Rattus norvegicus: one gene and its partners. The protein of the gene in region 3 purifies or fractionates together with the protein of the main gene of each other region. This does not show direct contact. Links are inferred from orthologs where the notes say so. Each region holds a gene or a part of one and is shown on either strand. Other genes may lie near its edges.

Region 1 (5,816 bases), on a different chromosome or scaffold from region 3:
CAGCTCCAAGCTGCCCACAATCATCCCCATTACCAGAGAGCAAATACTTTAGACCCATTCTGTCCAAAAACAAGAGGGCTCACAGGAGGGCTATAGCTGCTGTCTGTAGGCAGGAGAAAGCAAGCCATATAATTGATGTTTCCACAAGATGTGAAAGTCATTAGACACAAGACCAGTCATTTTTTGACTTAAAGGTCCCATGTTGACCTGTCTCAAAGTGCCCTCAGTCACTGGTTCCCAAGTTCCATGGGCTATGGCATCCCTCCAGAAAGCCAGGATCCTACTAGCTAGCTTAAGGAAACAAGTGCCCCAACTACAAGTAGGTCTTCTGCCTACCTAGTATCATTAGGATCTGAACCTACCAGGAAGAATTCACTCTGTCTCTCCTTTAAAGGCTAATAAACTCTATCCCACCCTGTAACTTTAAACTGATCTCTGGTATCTGAGTAGCTAGCACAACCTCACCACAGCCTTGGAACACAAACTCCTGCTTATCAGTCAGTCTCATGATAAAGGTCTCAAACAGAATAACTGCCTTATGTAATAACACAAAACATAAAATGCTATCCCAAGTCTCCCCTATACCCTGGAGTTCCTCCCGTGTGAGGTGCTGACATGGTTCATTCAAGTCTTTACCCAATGCTGCTCTATTTCCAGTAATTTGTAAGCAAGAGGCAGCTGCCATATTTCTGCTTCCCGTTTTTCCTTAGTTCCTCCACCCACTCATTTAGCAAACACTCACCAAGAACTAACTGCAACCCACGCACCATGGTTCACGATAGGCAGGACTCAGGCACCTACACAGTTGCTGTAGCATCAAGTAGCTATGTAACCACCACACACAAAGCACAGACCCCAATATCCCAGAGCACAACAGGGCAGACTCAGGAAAGCAGCTCCTTCATGTCCAGAAGGAACAGCCATGGAGACCAGGCATGTGTTCACAGCTGCATTATGTGTGTTTTGCAACCCAAAGGCCCGTGTTATCTGGCACTTACAATTTGCTTCTGCTTTAATGGCTTCACGGAGAAGCTGCCATCCACGTGCTGCAGGAGAGAGACACAGTTACTCTCAAACCAGCCCCTCCCTGCACTCTTGTCCAGACCGATGAAGGCCAACCTACGTTCATGGCTGACAATAAAAGGGTGAAGACAGGAACCAGGCCACAATGACCTCATCTGTGACTGCATGCCTGCCTTCTACAGTACCTGGAGCACCGTCAAACATCCCTGGAGAACCCAACTATCCTGAGTGGGTCTCAGCATGCGCAAACTGAAGCCACTCAGCTACACTCTGATCTTGGCAAGGCACTTCCTGCTACCCAGAAGCAAGCGTGAATACACAAAAATTCTTGAGCATGGCTTAGTCAGGAAGATGACACAAAACACACTCAGAGAGCTAAAAATAAAGAACAAAGTGGGATAAACAAGTGTGCTTAGTGATATCTAGGGAAGCAGAGCTCTCAGAGTTGGGAAGGTTTATCAGGGTTTAGAGTGGAAATTTTGAAATGACACCAATTACACGGAGTCAACTAAAACCAGCACTCAGGGTCGTAGATACTAATGGAAATCTCTAGAATGTCATACTACAAAACAAAGTTTCTTACTTAGCTTTCCATGCAAGCACTGAATGGAAACCTGTGAGGGACAGCCCATTGGTCTCACCAGATCCTGTTGTGAGCACTTCTCCCAAACATGGGGTGCTCAGGAGGTGAGGGCCAGCTCGCTCATGTCAACTGCACTTCTGCCCCAAAAGAGCATCCCAAGGCTTCCCACAGAGCAGGCTGGCAAAGCTCTGAAGACCCCAGAGTGGTCCAGAGACCTGGGTCACAGTAGGAACGGGCTCGGCACTGAAAGCATGCAAACCTTGGTAAAGGACCCCAAGTCAGCAGGACTCAGGATGAGTCAGCAGAAAATGAGCCATGGGGACCTCCCAAGTAATCCAGTCCGTTGTTGGGATCCTTGTAACCTGGGCTCCAGCCTGGTGCTGTTTTTAGCTGCTAACTAAGGAATGACAAAGGCCTGGGGAGTGGACCCCGCCCACACCTCCCACAAGCAGGAGAGTGTGTATGTATACAGGCCAGAGGCTGTTCCAGCAGGCAGCAGACCCTTACCCACCAGTCAGCCCCTCCTGCCCTGACACACATAATAACATTAACAGTTGTTCTGAGGGACCAGGAAGGCCTCCTATGGGGATGGAAATCTGCCCAGCCCTACCTGGACTACAAGCTGCAGCTAGCAGGAGGGGTGAGGTAGACACACACCTCAGGCAAGGCTGAGACCAGTGCCTGGTGGCACCTGAGGATACTGAACCTGGTGGGAAAAGATGGTGGCTGGCGGAGGGAAAGTTAGTCTGTAGTAGGGTTTCCATGTTGGCACCCTAGCTTGTGCTGGCAGGTTCTTGAAGGTCCGATGGAGCTGGTTTTTGTCTACAACATTCTGCCTCACCACTGCCTGCCCCAGTTCCCAGGAGACAGGGTGGTGGCCAGGATGGCACTTACCTTCTCAAAGGCAGCCAAGAGCACATGAGCGTGGCCAGTCACTTCCACAACTAAAGCAGTGAAATAAGAGAGGGGAGGCCAGTGTGAGGTCATGGCTGGGACTTTTTCCCTTTCCCTACAGCACTGGCAGAGCCCAGAGTCTACTCCTATCCTTGTCCTCATCCAGCACCCACTTCTCAAGCTGTCGCACGGCAATGAACCTGCATGTGAGCTATGACGGACACAGTTTCCAGAAGAGGGGTCCTTTGATGACTCAGGAAGAAGGAAGCCACTTCCCCCCACAGGTCCTACACAGTTGACAATGAAGATGAGGAAAGACCAGCAATGCTCACCATCTCCTTCATCCACCACAGCCTGGATGACTACTGGAAACACACCCCGGTCCAGGTCAAAGTTCAGCTTCAGAAAGAAAGCAGAAATGGTCAGGTCCACAGGTAGTGAGCTGGTCAGCTCGAACTGGAGCAGACCGAGGGAATCAAGGACACTCAGTGCCATTGGACCACTAGACCACATGGCTCCCGACTGGCTCTCCAAACAGAAAGGCCATCTTCTCCATCCTTGACAGCTACTTGCGTGCCTTCCAGAACTGTGGGTGTGCCTCTCTGGACAGTTCCTACGGTGAACTGTTTAGTGTCTACCTTTTTATGCCTAGCTTTTTTATTGAGCACGCTTTCTAAGTTCAGTCACAATTCCCACAGTCCCATTCCCTTTTTGTGTTGCAGTTATTCTAGGCGGTGGGTAAGCCACATTGTCTATTCATAAGTTGTGGATCCATGGTTTTGACATTGTGAACACTGTGAACAGTGCTGACACCCAGTCTCCTGCTTTGGGTGAAATTTTATTAGGTAACTGCTTGATGGAACGTGTCTGGCTTAAGCCCCACCAGAGACGGAATGAGAGCAACAGTGAGTTAGAGACCACTTGGCCCATGCTTCCCTTTCTAGGCCAGCAGCTGCCTTCCTCCCACACCCAACCCCACACAGCAGCCTGTGACAGAACAGGTCCCCATCACTTCACAAAGACCTACTATCCTGGAACCCCTGGCCCTAACCCTGCAAAGTTCAGCCTGTCCAGCCTCTAGAGCCCTCTGGTATCTCAGGGAAGCAGACATTTCCATTTATTCTCACTAAGGAGTTACTGGAAGAGTGGTCAATGGGCCAGATATAGCAGTGCACACCGCTGACTTCAGTTACTCAGGAAGCAGAGGCAGAAGAGTGGTGAGCTCATCAGTGAAACCCTGTCTTAAACAACAGTAGTGCATACCATTAATCCCAGGCAGGCAGATCTCTGTGAGTTCAATGTTAACTTACACACACACACATACACACACACATACACACACACACACACACACACACACACACACACACACACACACACACACACACACACACACAAAGACTGCCTGAATACCAAAAGCAAGCCAGGCAGTGGTGGCACTAGCCTTTAATCCCAGTACTTGGAAGGTGGATCTCTGTAAGTTCAAGACCATCCTGGTCTACAAAGTGAGTTCCAGGGCAGCCAGGGCTGTTACAAAGAGAAAACCTGTCTCAAAAATCAACATCCCCCGAAACAAAACAAAAACAAACAAAAGCCCATACCCTCCCAGTCTCTTTCTGGCTGCGACTCTTCACAAAATATGAGCTCTCACCTCCTGCCCCAGCGCCATGCCTGCCTGCCATGCTCCCACCATGATGGTCACAGACTCACCCTGTAGGTAAGCCCCCAATTAAAGGCATCCTTTAAAGGCTGCCTTGTATGGCATTTCATCACACTCGGAGCACTGGCTTCCAGCTCGGCCCTGTGCTCATTCACTGTGAACAAACTCAACTGAGCCTGATTCTCATCTCTAGAGGAACAGGCCAGTCTAAGTGCAAGGCTGAGCACAATGCCTGGGACAACATGCTTCACTCCACACGGTTCCTTTTGTGTTTGGAAGTAGGATACAGGCAGTAGAGGAGGTAGCAGCAGATGGCCATGTGGGCAGTCACAGCACCAGGCTGGGTAGAACACTGTGAAGCCACAGGATGGGTACATCACCCAGAACAGCACTCCTCACAAACTGGGATGTAAGAAAGCGAATGACCTTCCTGGGTGACTGCCTTGCTCTGGCATGCGGTCTCTTCAGAGGAGCCACTCCGGAGTGCTCCTGCTGATGCTGACGTTGGCAGCATGCTGACCCTACAAGATCATAAACTAAGACCAAGAAGAGCCTCTCATGTAGGAAGTGTCTGTTAGTCAGGTAAGCTAGCTACAAGAGCAGAGCCGCATGCCCATGCCAGGCTGGAAGCTGACAGAGCGCAAGCCTGAATGCACTGGGGTCTCTTATGCTCCGAGTAGCCCCAAGCATTCGTGCTCTTCTCAGCTGCACTCCGCATCCTGGAACAAGCCAGCTGCACTAAGTGAACTCAGCACAGAACCAGTGGCTGCAGAAGGTGTGCAGTGACTGCAATCCTGTCCTCTGAGTAGCCCAGGACAAATGACAGTGGAAGAGGACACACACCCACCACCAGAGGGAGCTAGAGGACGCTGCTTGTTTTGTTTTTATTTTCACATTTTATGTGCATGGGTGTTTGACCTGCAGGTATGTCTGTGCACCACTCGAGTTCCCGAATTCCCCAGGGTTACCTCATCATCCTTCCACTCGGAGAAGTCAATCTTGAAAGAAGGCAGGGAGAACTGCTGGCTAACGCCTCTCTTGTAATGGACAGTCTCAGATTGCAGAGAAGGGTTCTTACAGCTGTACCTGAGGGCAGCAAGGCAGCCACCTGACTCCTGTGGAGCCATGGACCCCCAACCCAGCATCCCATCTCCAATGTTACTCCTCTGAACCAGCAGCCATTTTTTCTATAGGGACTGAGAGCTTCAGCCATCCCAGACAGAAACAGGAAGCAGTCAGCTTAGCCAAGTGGCCCTTGCTTTTCCAAGAGCCTGCCACTGCCAGCTCTGCTCACCACGAGGCTGCCCAGTCACACCAAGTGGCTAGTTCTTCCAGGGCCCAACCAGCCTGATATCTCTGCTGCTTCTGCACGGGAAGAACAAGCCCACTGGTGTTTGGTGCATTTGCTTTTTCTGAATAATCATGGTGCAGTACTCCCTGTGCCAATTCTTGCTCCTCGCTGCCTGCTTCTCAGGCATTCCCACAGAGCGTGAGGCCTTCGCTTCAATGTGAGTCATGTTCTGAGAGTGTGATGTTCCCTGAGCCATGCTGGTCCACTGAAGCTTTGCTCTAGTGACTCAGAGACTAGCCTCCTGTCTTGCCAGTCCCCACAATGCTTCCAGGACCATCCTTTTCCTTATGCAGAAGTCCGTCTCA
Region 2 (5,816 bases), on a different chromosome or scaffold from region 3:
TCCTGAACTTTTGAACTGTTGATATTTCTGTCTCCACCTCCCAAGTGCTATAGGGCTGTGACACTGAGCAGGTTTATGCAGTGCCAGAGACTGAACCATGGGCTGTGTGCACGCTAGACAAACTCTTCTAATCAAGTCATTATCTCTAGCCTTAAAATGCCTGCTTTACACTGCTAGTCCTAAAATCGTTTTCTATATCAAACTCAAAGACCTAGCTTTAACTGATTTAGTGTCCCTCAAAGACAAGGAGCTGTGCCATCTTCAACATAGTTGTTCGTTCTTTCTTTCTTTCTTTCTTTCTTTCTTTCTTTCTTTCTCTTTAAAAAGATGTATTTATTTATTTTACGTATGAGTACTCTTCAGGCACAGTACTGAATATCTTACAATCTGAACAAGAAATTTTACTTAGTGGGAAATGACAGCAGACAGGTAATTACATTTTTGAAGTGTTGCAGACGTATCAAGCACTGCTCTGCCTTAATCTCAATCACCATATCCTAGAGAGGGTAGAGATATCCAGCCAGACTACTTTCTCCCGGATGGTTTAGGGTCAGCTATGAAGGGCCACAGTAAGGACTCTAGGGTGGGATCTGAGGACTTGAACTTCTGAGCACCTGCCCCCACTTGTGAGTTACAGGCGCCTCTCCCTAGATGACGGCTGCACTTTCACGGCACCAATTTTCACCTGGTACCGGGAAATCAGACCCAGGGCTTCCTGCATGCCAGGAAAATATTGTCCTGAGGTTTTTCTGAACCCGAGAACTCTTTTCTTAATTAGAGCATAAAAGGTCTTTTAACTATAGGATTCATAATATTTTTCATCTGGAAACTAGAGCAGATAAAAACTGTTCTTTTTTTTTTGAGCTGGGAACTGAACCCAGGGCCTTGCACTTGCTAGGCAAGCGCTCTACCACTGAGCTAAATTCCCAACCCCATAAAAACTGTTCTTAAGTGTGACTTACTATAGAAAAAGACACAACTCGTTCTAATAAAGTAGCCCCTGGCTTTCAGATTTCAGACTTGATTGGGGAAGCTCTAAATCTTAATGGGAGCCTGTGGGAAGCTGGGTATTTGGATATCAGGCATGAGGACAAGAAATTCAAGCCATCTCCAATTCTCCTAGATCCTGTCTAAAAACCAACCAACCAAACCCAAACCCAGGCCACCTTAAAGATTCATCTGGGATCCTCAGGTCGTCATTTTCCCTCCCCAAGCCCCTTGCAGACTGGGGCGGTCAGGTGTTGCAGTCTCTGGGGGAAGGACAGTTCAGAAGGGGGCTCCCCTGGCTGTCATGGTTTTCAAATGTACCCTTGCTCCTGTTCCCATGTGAGGCTTCCAGTAGAAGACTTCTTTAGAGGCCTCTGAGAAACCTCTTTATGGAGGAAGAAGGAAACTGAAGATTGTGTCCTCATTCTGACTGAGTGCTCAGGACTTCTATTCCCAGTCTTTTCCTCCCTCCCCCGACAATGCAACTGTCCTGGCTCCCTCCACAATGAGATGGCCACCCATTCCAGGCTGTTCTGCTTGACTTGAGCTGCTGTGCTTCCATGGGAGGGGAATGGGACAAAGGCAGTTGGTGCCTTCTGTGACTTTAGCCCCTTTTTATGCCTCTGCTGAATGTAATAAAAGCTTAGCTCCTTTACTGCTGGTTTGTTGCTTTAATTAACTGCTCCCAAGCACATAAGTTGAGCTTTATTTCCTCTTCCAGCACAGTCAAACTCTTTTTAATTTATTTATTTTATGTACAATAGTGTTTTCCCTGCATGTATGTCTGTATGAGTGTTGGATCCCAGGTGTTATCAGCACTTGTAAGCTGCCATATAGGTGCTAGGAATTGAACCTGGGTCCTCTAAAAGAACAGTCAGTGTTATTAACCACTGAGCCATTTTTCCAGCCCCAACAATTTAACATAATTAAGAAAGGCAGTATCCCAAACCAAGAGACCTTCCCCTTTAAGATATTTAAGTCAAACGCAGGTACTGTGCTGCTGCACCTGACTTGTGACTAACTTGACCTGTGTGACTTACGCTGACATTTGCCTCCATTAGTCGGGTCACCATAGAAGCCAGATATGCAGGTCTCGCAGTGCTTGCCTGTGGTCAGGTCCTCACACTTCTCACAGATGCTCTGGTTGATGCACTTGCTGTGTCCATTGCACTGGCAAGCTGAAAGGCAAAGGATCTTAAGGGATCTGTTTCTCTCATAGAAGAACTAGGTGAATAAATTTCATATTTATTTGTATGATCTAAATGTTAAATCATGAAAACGAGTAAAGCACAACTGCCTGTGCCTATAGTTCCAGCTAGCAGGAGCTGAGGCAGGCAGCACAGGGCTTCTGATCCTGTGGACCTGTTTTGCTTAAGCCCAGAAGTTTCAGGTCAGCCTGGGTAACACAGTGAGATGCCCATCTAAAAATTTTGTTTCAATAAATAAAAATAAAGAAAGAGAGGAAAAAGCACTGGGTGTGGATTTTAAGGCAACATAGCAAGTTTGTGGCCAGTCTAAAAACTACAAACAAAACAAAACACCAAGGTTCACTAAAAACTATTATGAGAAAATAAAAAACAAATTAGTTTTGAAAAACCAAATATATTATCAAAGCAAGGTGAAAGTCCAAAGGAATATAAGAATACTTTTTGTTGTTATTCATTGTAGAAACTCATGGTACTTTGAATAATATAGTAATATAGAGATGAGGAAAAAATAATCAAACATAATCCCACTACCTAGGAAACATGATTCACATTTGGTATCTTTCTTTCCGGGGTTTTTAATTATTTTCTTTTCCTTAAAAAAAAAACACAATAATAGTAAATCATTTTAGCACCCTATTTTCTCCAATAGGTAAGTCATCTGGAAAAAAAATAAGCAGAGAAACTTCAGCATTAAATGATTTCTTATGTAAAATGAACCAAACAGATATCTACAGACTTTTCTACCTATGTCAAAACAACATACATTCCCTCAGCAGCACATAGCATTACATGCTGACACACAAGCATGTAATGTAGAAAGAGCTCTGTACCATTATGTAATAAAACAAAATCAGTCAGGTGGTGGTGGCACATGCCTTTAATCCCAGCACTTCAGTGCCAGAGGCAGGTGGATCTCTGTGAATTTGAGGTCAGACTGGTCTACAGAAAGAAAGTTCTAGAACAGACAGAGCTACAACACAGAGAAACCTTGTCTTAAAAAAATAAACAACAACAAACCACCTTAAAATCATCAGTAAACAAAATTCTAATAAATGTATAAACTCACTAGAGATTAAACAACTCATTGCTGAATGATGAATGGGTCAATGAAGAAATCAAAATATTCCTGGAGCTAAATTAAACCGAAAAGACAACACAACAAATCCCTGGGACCAGGTCGTCTAAAGGGGGAAGGTGACAGTCCCAGGTGGGCTCTGGTCAAGAAATCCACAAGAACGCAGATGAGTGACTTAGTGATAAAACTGAAAATTTTGGAAAAGTAAGAACTAAACCCAACCCAAACCCAGTAGATGGCAAGAAATAATAAAAATCAGTGAAAAAGGAACAAAGAAAATAATACAAAGAATTAATGAATCTAAGAACTGGTTCTTTAAAAAGATAAGAAGACCAAGAGACTAACTAGCCACAATAAAGAGAGATTAAGAGGGTGAACGGGGAAATCTTACAACAGATGCCAAAGAAATATAAAATGCTATGAAGAAATACTTTAAAACTCATATTCCATTTAGTTGGAAATCTAAAAGGGATGGATTAATTTCTTGATTCATCCAAATGACCAAAGTTAAATCATAAGGAGACTAGCAGACTAAACAGACCATCACAAACAAGGAGACTGAAACAGTAATACAAAGTCTTCCAAATAGAGTCCAGAACCACATGGGTTCTCAGCAGAATTCTACCAGACAACAACCACTCATTCTTAAATTATTTAAAGAAAATAAACAGAGAGATTACTCCCAAATTCGTCCTATGAAGCCAGAACTACTCTAATATGCACAGTCAGTAAAAACAGCAAAAATAAGCAAACTATCGACAGTACTACCACTGATGAACATGGATGCAGAAGTCCTTGATAAAACAATAACAGACACACTATACGCACATAGCACAGAGATCACCCACAAAAGCATGTGGGCTTTATCCCAGAACTCCAGGTTGGCTCAACATACATAAGTCAATAAATACAACACATAATATAAACAGACTTAAAGATGAAATCACATGCCCATCTCAATAGATGTAGAAAGGGCTTGTAAAATACCCAACATGCTTTCCTGATAAAAGTCCTAGAGAGAACAGGACTGGAGCGAACATACCTCAATATAATAAGGGCTGTGTATGACAAACCCATAACCAACACTATCTTAAATGGGGAAAACGCTGACTAATCCCATTAAAATAAGAAACAAGGCCAGGCTGTTCACAGTCACCACTCCTTTTCAATATTGTGCTGGAAGCATTAGCTGGAATAACAAGGCAAATGAAAGAAATAAAGGGATACAAATAGGAAAAGAAGAAGTCAATTTATCCCTATTTACAGATTATATAAGATATATAAGAAATCTCAAAAACTCTATCACTAGACTTTTAAAAACAATCAACAATGTCAGCAGAGTGGCAGAGTACAAAATCAGCTCTCAAAACTTAGTAGTTTGGGGCTGAGGAGTTGGATCAGTAGGTAGGAGCACCTGGCTTCAATTCTAGCATCTACAGGCAGCTCAGAGCTATCCACAAATCCAGTCCCCGGGGATCTGATGCCCAGAGGGCATGATGCATATGATATACATACACATGTTCCAACAAACACTTATACACGTAAATTAAAACGAATTAAACTAAAAAACACTGAGAACAAGATCATGGACATACTACCATGTCTAACACCAAAGACAATGCAATATCTAGAAATAAACTTAACCAAAGGGCTTCTACAATGAAGACCCCAAAATCTCTTTAAGAGATTTAAGAGAGGGATATAGAGAGGTACTAGAAAATGGAGTCATCCTATGTTCATGGATCAGTAAAGTTAATACTGTGAAAATAACCATTCTACCAAAAGCAATTTACAGATTCAATTGCAATCAAAATACCAACAATTCTTCTCAGAAATAGAAAACAAAATCCTAAATTCACATGGAACCAGAAAAGAGCCCAGGAAGGCCAAAGCAATGCTGAGCAGAAGGATTAAAACTGCAGGGATTGCCATCGGAGATCAAGACCTATCACAGACCACAGTAATTCAAACAATATGGTACTGTACAAAACAGACATGCAAACCAACAGAATAAAACAGAAAAGCCAAGCCTAACTAAGTACTCATAGCTACAGGCATCTGGTATTTATGAAAAGGCAACAAAACAAAACAAAACAAAACAAAACAAAACAAACCCTGTAGAAAAGACAGTATCTTCAAAAGCGGTGCTGGGAAAACTGGATGTCTGAATACAGAGGAAGGAATGAAAGAGATCTGTATCTATCACCTTTCATAAAACCTGACCCAAATGGATCAAAGATATAACCCAAACCACTGAAACTTCTAGAATAAAACACAGGCAGTACCATACATGATACAAGTGTAGGAAAGGACTTTTTATGAGGACTCCACTTGCTCAGGAATTAAGGACAACTGGCAAAGGGGACTTCATAAAGTTAAAACACTTCTGTGCAACAAAGGAGACCATCAATCAAGTAAAGAAAAGCAGGACGAAGAGCATCTTTGTCAGCTACACATCCAACAGAGGGATGCAGAACATAGAAAGAACTCAAACACAGTGAAGAAAACAAGTGACCTAATCAAAAATGGTCTAGGGATCTGGGCTT
Region 3 (6,396 bases):
TCTAAGTGTGTCCCATGAAAGCACAGGGGTGTTGTAAAATAAGGGGGGAAAGTTAGAGAAGATGCTGGCATGAAATCCAGGGGAGAGCAAAGGCAGCACATGGAGGAATGGCTACAAGCTGAGGGACAGAGGGTGCTTTAGAAGCTGAGTAAGTTAGGGAGACTGAGTCCTGAAGACCCTCTAAAAGCAACGTAGCACTTGAAGTTTAGCTGGGTGGAAACTCTGTGGCTGCTGGCCTTCCTGGTGTATAAAATGACTACTGCAATCGCTTAAACAGTTAGATTTGTGGTGGTTTGTTACCATGGCAATATGAAACTGAGGTACAGCCCTCTCCTATACAGACCCCAGCCAAGCCTCGGGAGGGATTCTGGAAGTGTGTTCACAGGAGTTTGGGGAGTTATTCAGCCCCTGCTGATGAAGATCGCTGCCTCTCTTTCTTCAGACTTCCTCAGGAACTCTTCCTGGGGAGTCAGCACCCGGTGGGGCTCAAGTAAGCAAGAGGACAATAGGAGACTCTTTACTTTGCATTTAGGAGGATATAATCTTGTGATTTATGGTCACTCCCACTCAGTATCAGGATATCACTGAGATGTAAAAGCAGCGTCTGTGAAGATGTTCAGTCCCCACCATGTCAAGTACCCAGACATGGGGACAAGGAGTCAGAGGGCACAGGCAACTCGAAGTCCATTTCCTTAGTCTCGTCAGAGGAGGGAAAAAAAGCTGTCTTCACAGTCCTTAAATTTTCCCTGTTGAACGAAGCCATAATTCACGAAAAAGAAAAGATAAATTAGAATACAGGCATTCAATACCCTCTCAAGTTGTTTGATATACCAACCAGGGAAAGATAAATTATATGAATAGAATTACCATTTAAATTACCCAGTGCCTTGACACAGTGGATGGGCATATATGGAGATATTGACTAATTGATTAATGTATCCCCAATTTACAGAATATTTATGATCAGTCACTGTTCAAGTAAATGTTAAATAGCCTAAGATGATTGGCGGCCCTGGGGATTGCTGAGCTCACCCCGCCCTGGTATCTTAGATTCAGTGTATGTACATGTGTGTGTGCGTGAGTGCCTCTGTGTGTGGCCTGTGTCTGTGTGCACATGAGCGCATGCATGCACGAACCCAAGTGTGCAAATACTTATGTGCACTTGTTCATGGAGACCAGAGGTCAGCCTCAGGTGACATACCATAAGAGCCAACCATCTTGGTTTTTTTGAGACAGGACTCTCATTGAGGCCCAGAACTCCATGAGTAGCACAGGCTGTGCTGGCTGGCCAGGGAGACCCCCTGAAATCAGATATCTCCCACGGGCCAGAACCGCACATAGCCAGCATGCTTGGCTTTTTATTCGGATTCTGGGGATTGACCTCAGGTCTTTAAGCTTGCAATGCAAGTCCTTTACCAACTGAGCTATCTCTCCAGCCTTTTTATAATTCTTAAGTGAAGGAAATGTGAGATTTCTTCAAGTCAGGCAATAATCCTAAACACCGATTTGACATTGCGGGGGCAGGGGGGGTGCACGACGGATTTAGACTTAATTCTTGAACAGATGACCTTCTACAGGGTCATCTGGTGGGGTAGATGGTACTAGAACTCAGAGAACAGTGTTTAAAAGAAGTCACCTTGGTTGTATGACTGGAGTTGAGAGAGAGAGAGAGAGAGAGAGAGAGAGAGAGAGAGAGAGAAGCTATGTGAAAGAATGTTCCAGTACATGGGTGTATCATCATTTTCAGGTTTGATTGTACACAAGTCACGATAAGTCAAGGACTTATAAATAAGGCGTAAGCATTCAATCTGAATAATAACTCGGTAGGATCGAATATTAAAGTAGACTTGTAAGCCATGATTTGCTAACAAGTGGATTCAGATCTTCCCTGTAGCCGGAAACAAATTAATGCGCGTGGCACTTAACATATTTGTTTCTGCCTTTTAAATTTCTACTTAGTGGAGTCAATGGGACATGTATTTAGAAAAAGAGGTGAAAGTGCACGATGCTGGTAAGAGGGCGAGCCGCCGCCATGTGAGCCTCCCGCCTGCAGGGGGCGCGCCGTCACGAGGTGCAAGGCCGCTCTGCCCCGCGTGAGCTCCACCTCTGTGGCCGCCAGCGCCCCGCCCTCAGTCACTGGAGAGGAGGAGCTGCTGCCTTCATTGCTCCTTCAGGATCAGGTACCTGGGCCGGGGCTGTGGGCAGCAGCTGGACTGGAGCGAGTGACACCTGCCCTAAGGGCCGTGGAGCCCGGTGCGGGTCCGAGCGGCTTAGCCGCGGGCGATGATGGCGGGAGGGCCTAGGTCAGGCCTGGGAGATTGCACGGAGGATGCCCACGGATATTTCGGAGTCTCCTGGCAGCCCACGCCCCAGCCCTATGGCGACGTCCTTCCCAGGCCGGGATGCAGAGCATAGTTAGGAATTGTCATGTCCTTAGCTGGTCACGAGGAGTCCGCAGCCCTGGCGAGCGTGGGCACTGTGGAGGTCCGTGTGATCTGCCCAGACTGTCACACTGCCCAGGGCATTCTCGGTGAGACAAGGTTTGCACATTTTGTGCTTAGGCCTCAGGCGATCATCAACTTTCATACTTTGACACGCGTCATTAAAAAGCAGTTGGTTTCTCTCCGGAGAAGAAAACATTTATTCTTAACAGCATTCCACAGAATCTCGAATTGGCTGAGGAATGTAGTAAGTGTGTACTATTGAAGAGTAAGGGACACTGCTCACTCTTCAGAATGTGGCATGGTACTTAGGCGCTTCCCAAGGGCGCTCTCAGTGGTATGGTGGTTTTTATGTTGCAGTAGCAACTGGCTGTCTTCATGTCGGATATTGTGCCCACTAATGTGCCCTTTTAAAGTCTTTGCAACAGCCCTCACAAGTACCATCTCTGATTTGCAGATAAACTGAGGCACAGAGTCTAAATTAACCTGTCCAAGGCCAGACAGTTGGCAGAGTAAGTGGAATCAGAGACACACAAGACTTCACGCCAGCACCCTTTACCTTCCAAAGGTAGTGTTTCTTTTTTCTTTCTTTATTTTTTTTTCTTTTCTTTTTTTTTTTTTTTTTTTTTTTTTTGGAGCTGGGGACCAAACCCAGAGCCTTGCGCTCGTTAGGCAAGCGCTCTACCGCTGAGCTAAATCCCCAACCCCAAAGGTAGTGTTTCTTAAGATTTCTGCTTATTCAATCAGAGCTTTCAGGGACTAAGCCACTACCTAAAGACTATACATGGACTGACCCTGGACTCTGACCCCATAGGTAGCAATGAATATCCTAGTAAGAGCACCAGTGGAAGGGGAAGCCCTGGGTCCTGCTAAGACTGAACCCCCAGTGAACTAGTCTATGGGGGGAGGGCGGCAATGGGGGGAGGGTTGGGAGGGGAACACCCATAAGGAAGGGGAGGGGGGAGGGGGATGTTTGCCCGGAAACCGGGAAAGGGAATAACACTCGAAATGTATATAAGAAATACTCAAGTTAATAAAAAAAAATTCATAGTAGTAAATACCTAGGCAATTATTGTGCAAAATATATAGGACTCATAAATTGTACCTCTTGAAGAAAATATACAGAAATAAAGTTAGATAGTGTGGAAGTTTCTCTTCCATACAAAGTTTCTTATAATGGTGGAAAAAAAAAAAAGATTTCTGCTTATTGATAAAATTTGTAGCCTGAACTGGTTTCTCTTAGACTTATGCTATGACATTATGCCTGTGCCACTGTCGGTTTACTTTAAAGAGAAGTATGTTTGTTCATTAAGCTTTGTGGTGGTAGTAAGGTTAAATGTCCTGGGTTCTCACTGTTTCAGAATAGGTTGATTTGATGTAGAAGTGTGTCTGTGTTTGTTCGCACATCTTAGCTGTGTGTTCGTTAATTGTATTTTCACAGCAGCTCTATCGAGTGTGCGTTGCACACGCAGCATGGATAGAACTGCCACATGGTGGGTTATGAAGGACTCAGGGCACATTCTGTACAGCAAATGGAGTTGCTGACTGCATGATGAAGGAGTTTCACTGTGAGACTGGGGATGGTTGTTCCCCAATCCCAGAGACTGGGGCTTATAGAGTCTAAGTTCCTTTACTATTGCGGGGACTCCAGTCTAGCATGGTGGAGAAGGGACGGCGGCAGGGACATGAAGCAGCTAGTCGCACTGTAGCCGTGCAAGCCACTTTACCCGAGCAGAGGGCAGAGACTCAGCCCTGTGCTCCGCTCCATCTTCTCCATTTTGCCCTTGCTCCTGAAACAGTGCTGCCCACTGTGGGCCTTTCCACTCCAGCTGACCCAGTGGAGGAGCACTTCCTCGCCGAGACTCCCTTCTCAGGTGCTTCCTTGTGTCAAGCCAGCCACCACTGAGTCCCAATTTGCTTAGCTACATTAGGATTTAGCATAGAATTTAAGAGTTGCGTTGTCAAGAGCTGCCTGTGACATGGGGGCACAAGCCTTTAACACCAGTACTCAGGAGGTAGGGGCAGAGAGATCTCTGTGACTTAGAGGCTAGCCTGGTCTACATAGAGAGTTCCAGGACAGCCAGGGCTGTTACACAGAGAAATCCCGTCTTGTACTAACCACCCCCACCCCCCCAGAAAAAAAAAAAAAAGAATTGCATGGTCAGGGTTCATGCAGCAGCCCCACATCCTGTTTTTCATGGTGGGGCAATTCTAAGAACCAGGGGTGACCCAAGTCCTGATCTAATGGAGCTAACTTTCCCTTGCAGGAAGATGGCGACAATAAAATTATTTGCTTAAAAGTGGAAATAAATCCAGTTAATGGTAATGATTACTAAGAAAAAATCTAAAGCGAGGCTGTGGTAGGACATACTGGGAAAGGGACTTACAGTTTTGCAGTAAGAAATCGTGTCCGAGAGAATGTGCTGAAGTGACAGTGTGGCCATGCAGGGCCGCCCTCCAGCTGTCAGGGGAAAAGTATACAGCAATCACAGAAACCTAGAGAACACCAGCCTGTTGGAGACTAACAAGGAGCCACAGGCTTGAGCAGAGGGCAGAAGGGAGGAATGAAGCCAGAAGCCTAGTGGATGCTAGTAAGGGTCTACATAGGAAGGAGGAGGTGGACAGAGTGATTTGATCAGAAGAGCAGCAGGACCTGACTTAACGTGTTCAGGCTGACTGTAATTCCAAAGATGGGTCAGAGAGAAGGAAGTACCATAGCCCTTCACTGTTCCCGAGGATATAATCCAAGACCTCCAAGAATGTCTGGAACCTTGGATAGTACCAGGTCCTTTATATGAGGTGCTATTTCCCCTTATATGCTTGTACATGATAAAATTACTTAACAGGGGACACTGAAATTTAGCCCCAGCACGGGGAACCAGGCCTCCATTACCTGAGCCTTTGGGGGACACTTCCTATCCAGACCATAGTAGGTATGGCTAAAGGCATTGAGACTGCGTGACTAAGGAACTGAACGTTGATGTGACTGAGAGAGAACATTAAAGGACATAAGGAGAAACTGGAATAGTTGAGGGAAAGGGGTAAGAGTGGAGTGCAGGGAGAAAGGGACTGGCTGTGTTACCCGCTCACTGGATGAGCCCCACGATGGACGTGAGAGTGGCAGGTGACAAGATGGTCGTAAGAACAAGGTCGGGTGCTTGCCATAGAACAGAGGCAGGTAAGGCTTTGAGGCGTCACAGCCCTGCTTGAATGGAGTGGAGTGCAAACAGACACAAACAGCAACGTGTTACATGCAAGAGCTGCTTCGCCTGCCGTAGTTGAAACCATGTTTGTTTACATTGTAAAGTGATATACCTGGCTGCAGTAACTGCACTCTGCAGCTCTCAGCATTCTTCTGGGATTCATAGATAATTGTTTAAAGTCTCTCATCTAAATTAGCACTTTAGTGAGCTACAAGAAGAGTGATATGGGAAGTAAGGAGAAGGAGTGAATTGGAGCAGAAGCCTGTGGTAATGGAATAGGAAATGAGTAACCAGGGATCGGAGTGTGTTCTGAGTAAGAGCAGTGGGGAGGACCGTGTCAGACGCTGGCCTTGAAGCTGGCTGAAGAGCCTTAGCAACAGTTGTGCCCAAAGATTTCTCCCTGTGTGGCCCCTAAAGGCCACAGCAGAGACTGAAGGATATAAAAGAAATATCCACACGGTGAGGGAATGGGGACTCTGGACGGTCAGAGGTGCATTAGGATCAGGGGGTGGGACTTGAAGTCCAGGAAGGGCAGCTAAGATGGTGGTGCAGCCTGAGGGCCTCCCAGATGTATCTGTTTCTGAAGTGGTGGTCCACACCTACATCACCTGATAACCTGTAACTAAAAGCTCAGCTCAGCTCAGTACAGATAGAAGAGAAGCCGTGTAGGAGGGCTTGTTTGGATGAGTGAGTGTTGCTGGACAGACAGGCAAAGGCCAAGGACACGTTTACAAGCTGTCTTGAACCTGAAG

The links. The genes of interacting proteins can lie anywhere in the genome.
Region 1: the proteins of Ankrd46 (region 3) and Mgrn1 purify together in Homo sapiens (co-immunoprecipitation; 3 studies listed by BioGRID and IntAct, counting the BioPlex papers as one, with this or other methods). This does not show direct contact. The link is inferred for Rattus norvegicus from reciprocal best matches to the Homo sapiens genes ANKRD46 and MGRN1.
Region 2: the proteins of Ankrd46 (region 3) and Atrn purify together in Homo sapiens (co-immunoprecipitation; 3 studies listed by BioGRID and IntAct, with this or other methods). This does not show direct contact. The link is inferred for Rattus norvegicus from reciprocal best matches to the Homo sapiens genes ANKRD46 and ATRN.

The regions. Positions count from the first base shown.
Region 1 is NC_086028.1:11,162,333-11,168,148, forward strand, and holds part of Mgrn1 (E3 ubiquitin-protein ligase MGRN1), read right to left. Parts: intron 5,563-5,816; exon of another isoform or gene 5,462-5,562; intron 5,247-5,461; coding exon 5,129-5,246; intron 2,900-5,128; coding exon 2,833-2,899; intron 2,551-2,832; coding exon 2,501-2,550; intron 2,487-2,500; exon of another isoform or gene 1,130-2,486; coding exon of another isoform or gene 1,124-1,129; intron 1,047-1,123; coding exon 999-1,046; intron 1-998. UniProt on the Homo sapiens protein: E3 ubiquitin-protein ligase. Mediates monoubiquitination at multiple sites of TSG101 in the presence of UBE2D1, but not of UBE2G1, nor UBE2H. Plays a role in the regulation of endosome-to-lysosome trafficking.
Region 2 is NC_086021.1:138,645,970-138,651,785, reverse strand, and holds part of Atrn (attractin precursor), read right to left. Parts: intron 2,166-5,816; coding exon 2,028-2,165; intron 1-2,027. UniProt on the Homo sapiens protein: Involved in the initial immune cell clustering during inflammatory response and may regulate chemotactic activity of chemokines. May play a role in melanocortin signaling pathways that regulate energy homeostasis and hair color.
Region 3 is NC_086025.1:69,548,989-69,555,384, reverse strand, and holds the start of Ankrd46 (ankyrin repeat domain-containing protein 46), read left to right. Parts: upstream 1-2,107; 5' UTR 2,108-2,180; exon of another isoform or gene 2,181-2,540; intron 2,541-2,898; 5' UTR 2,899-3,009; intron 3,010-3,028; exon of another isoform or gene 3,029-6,396.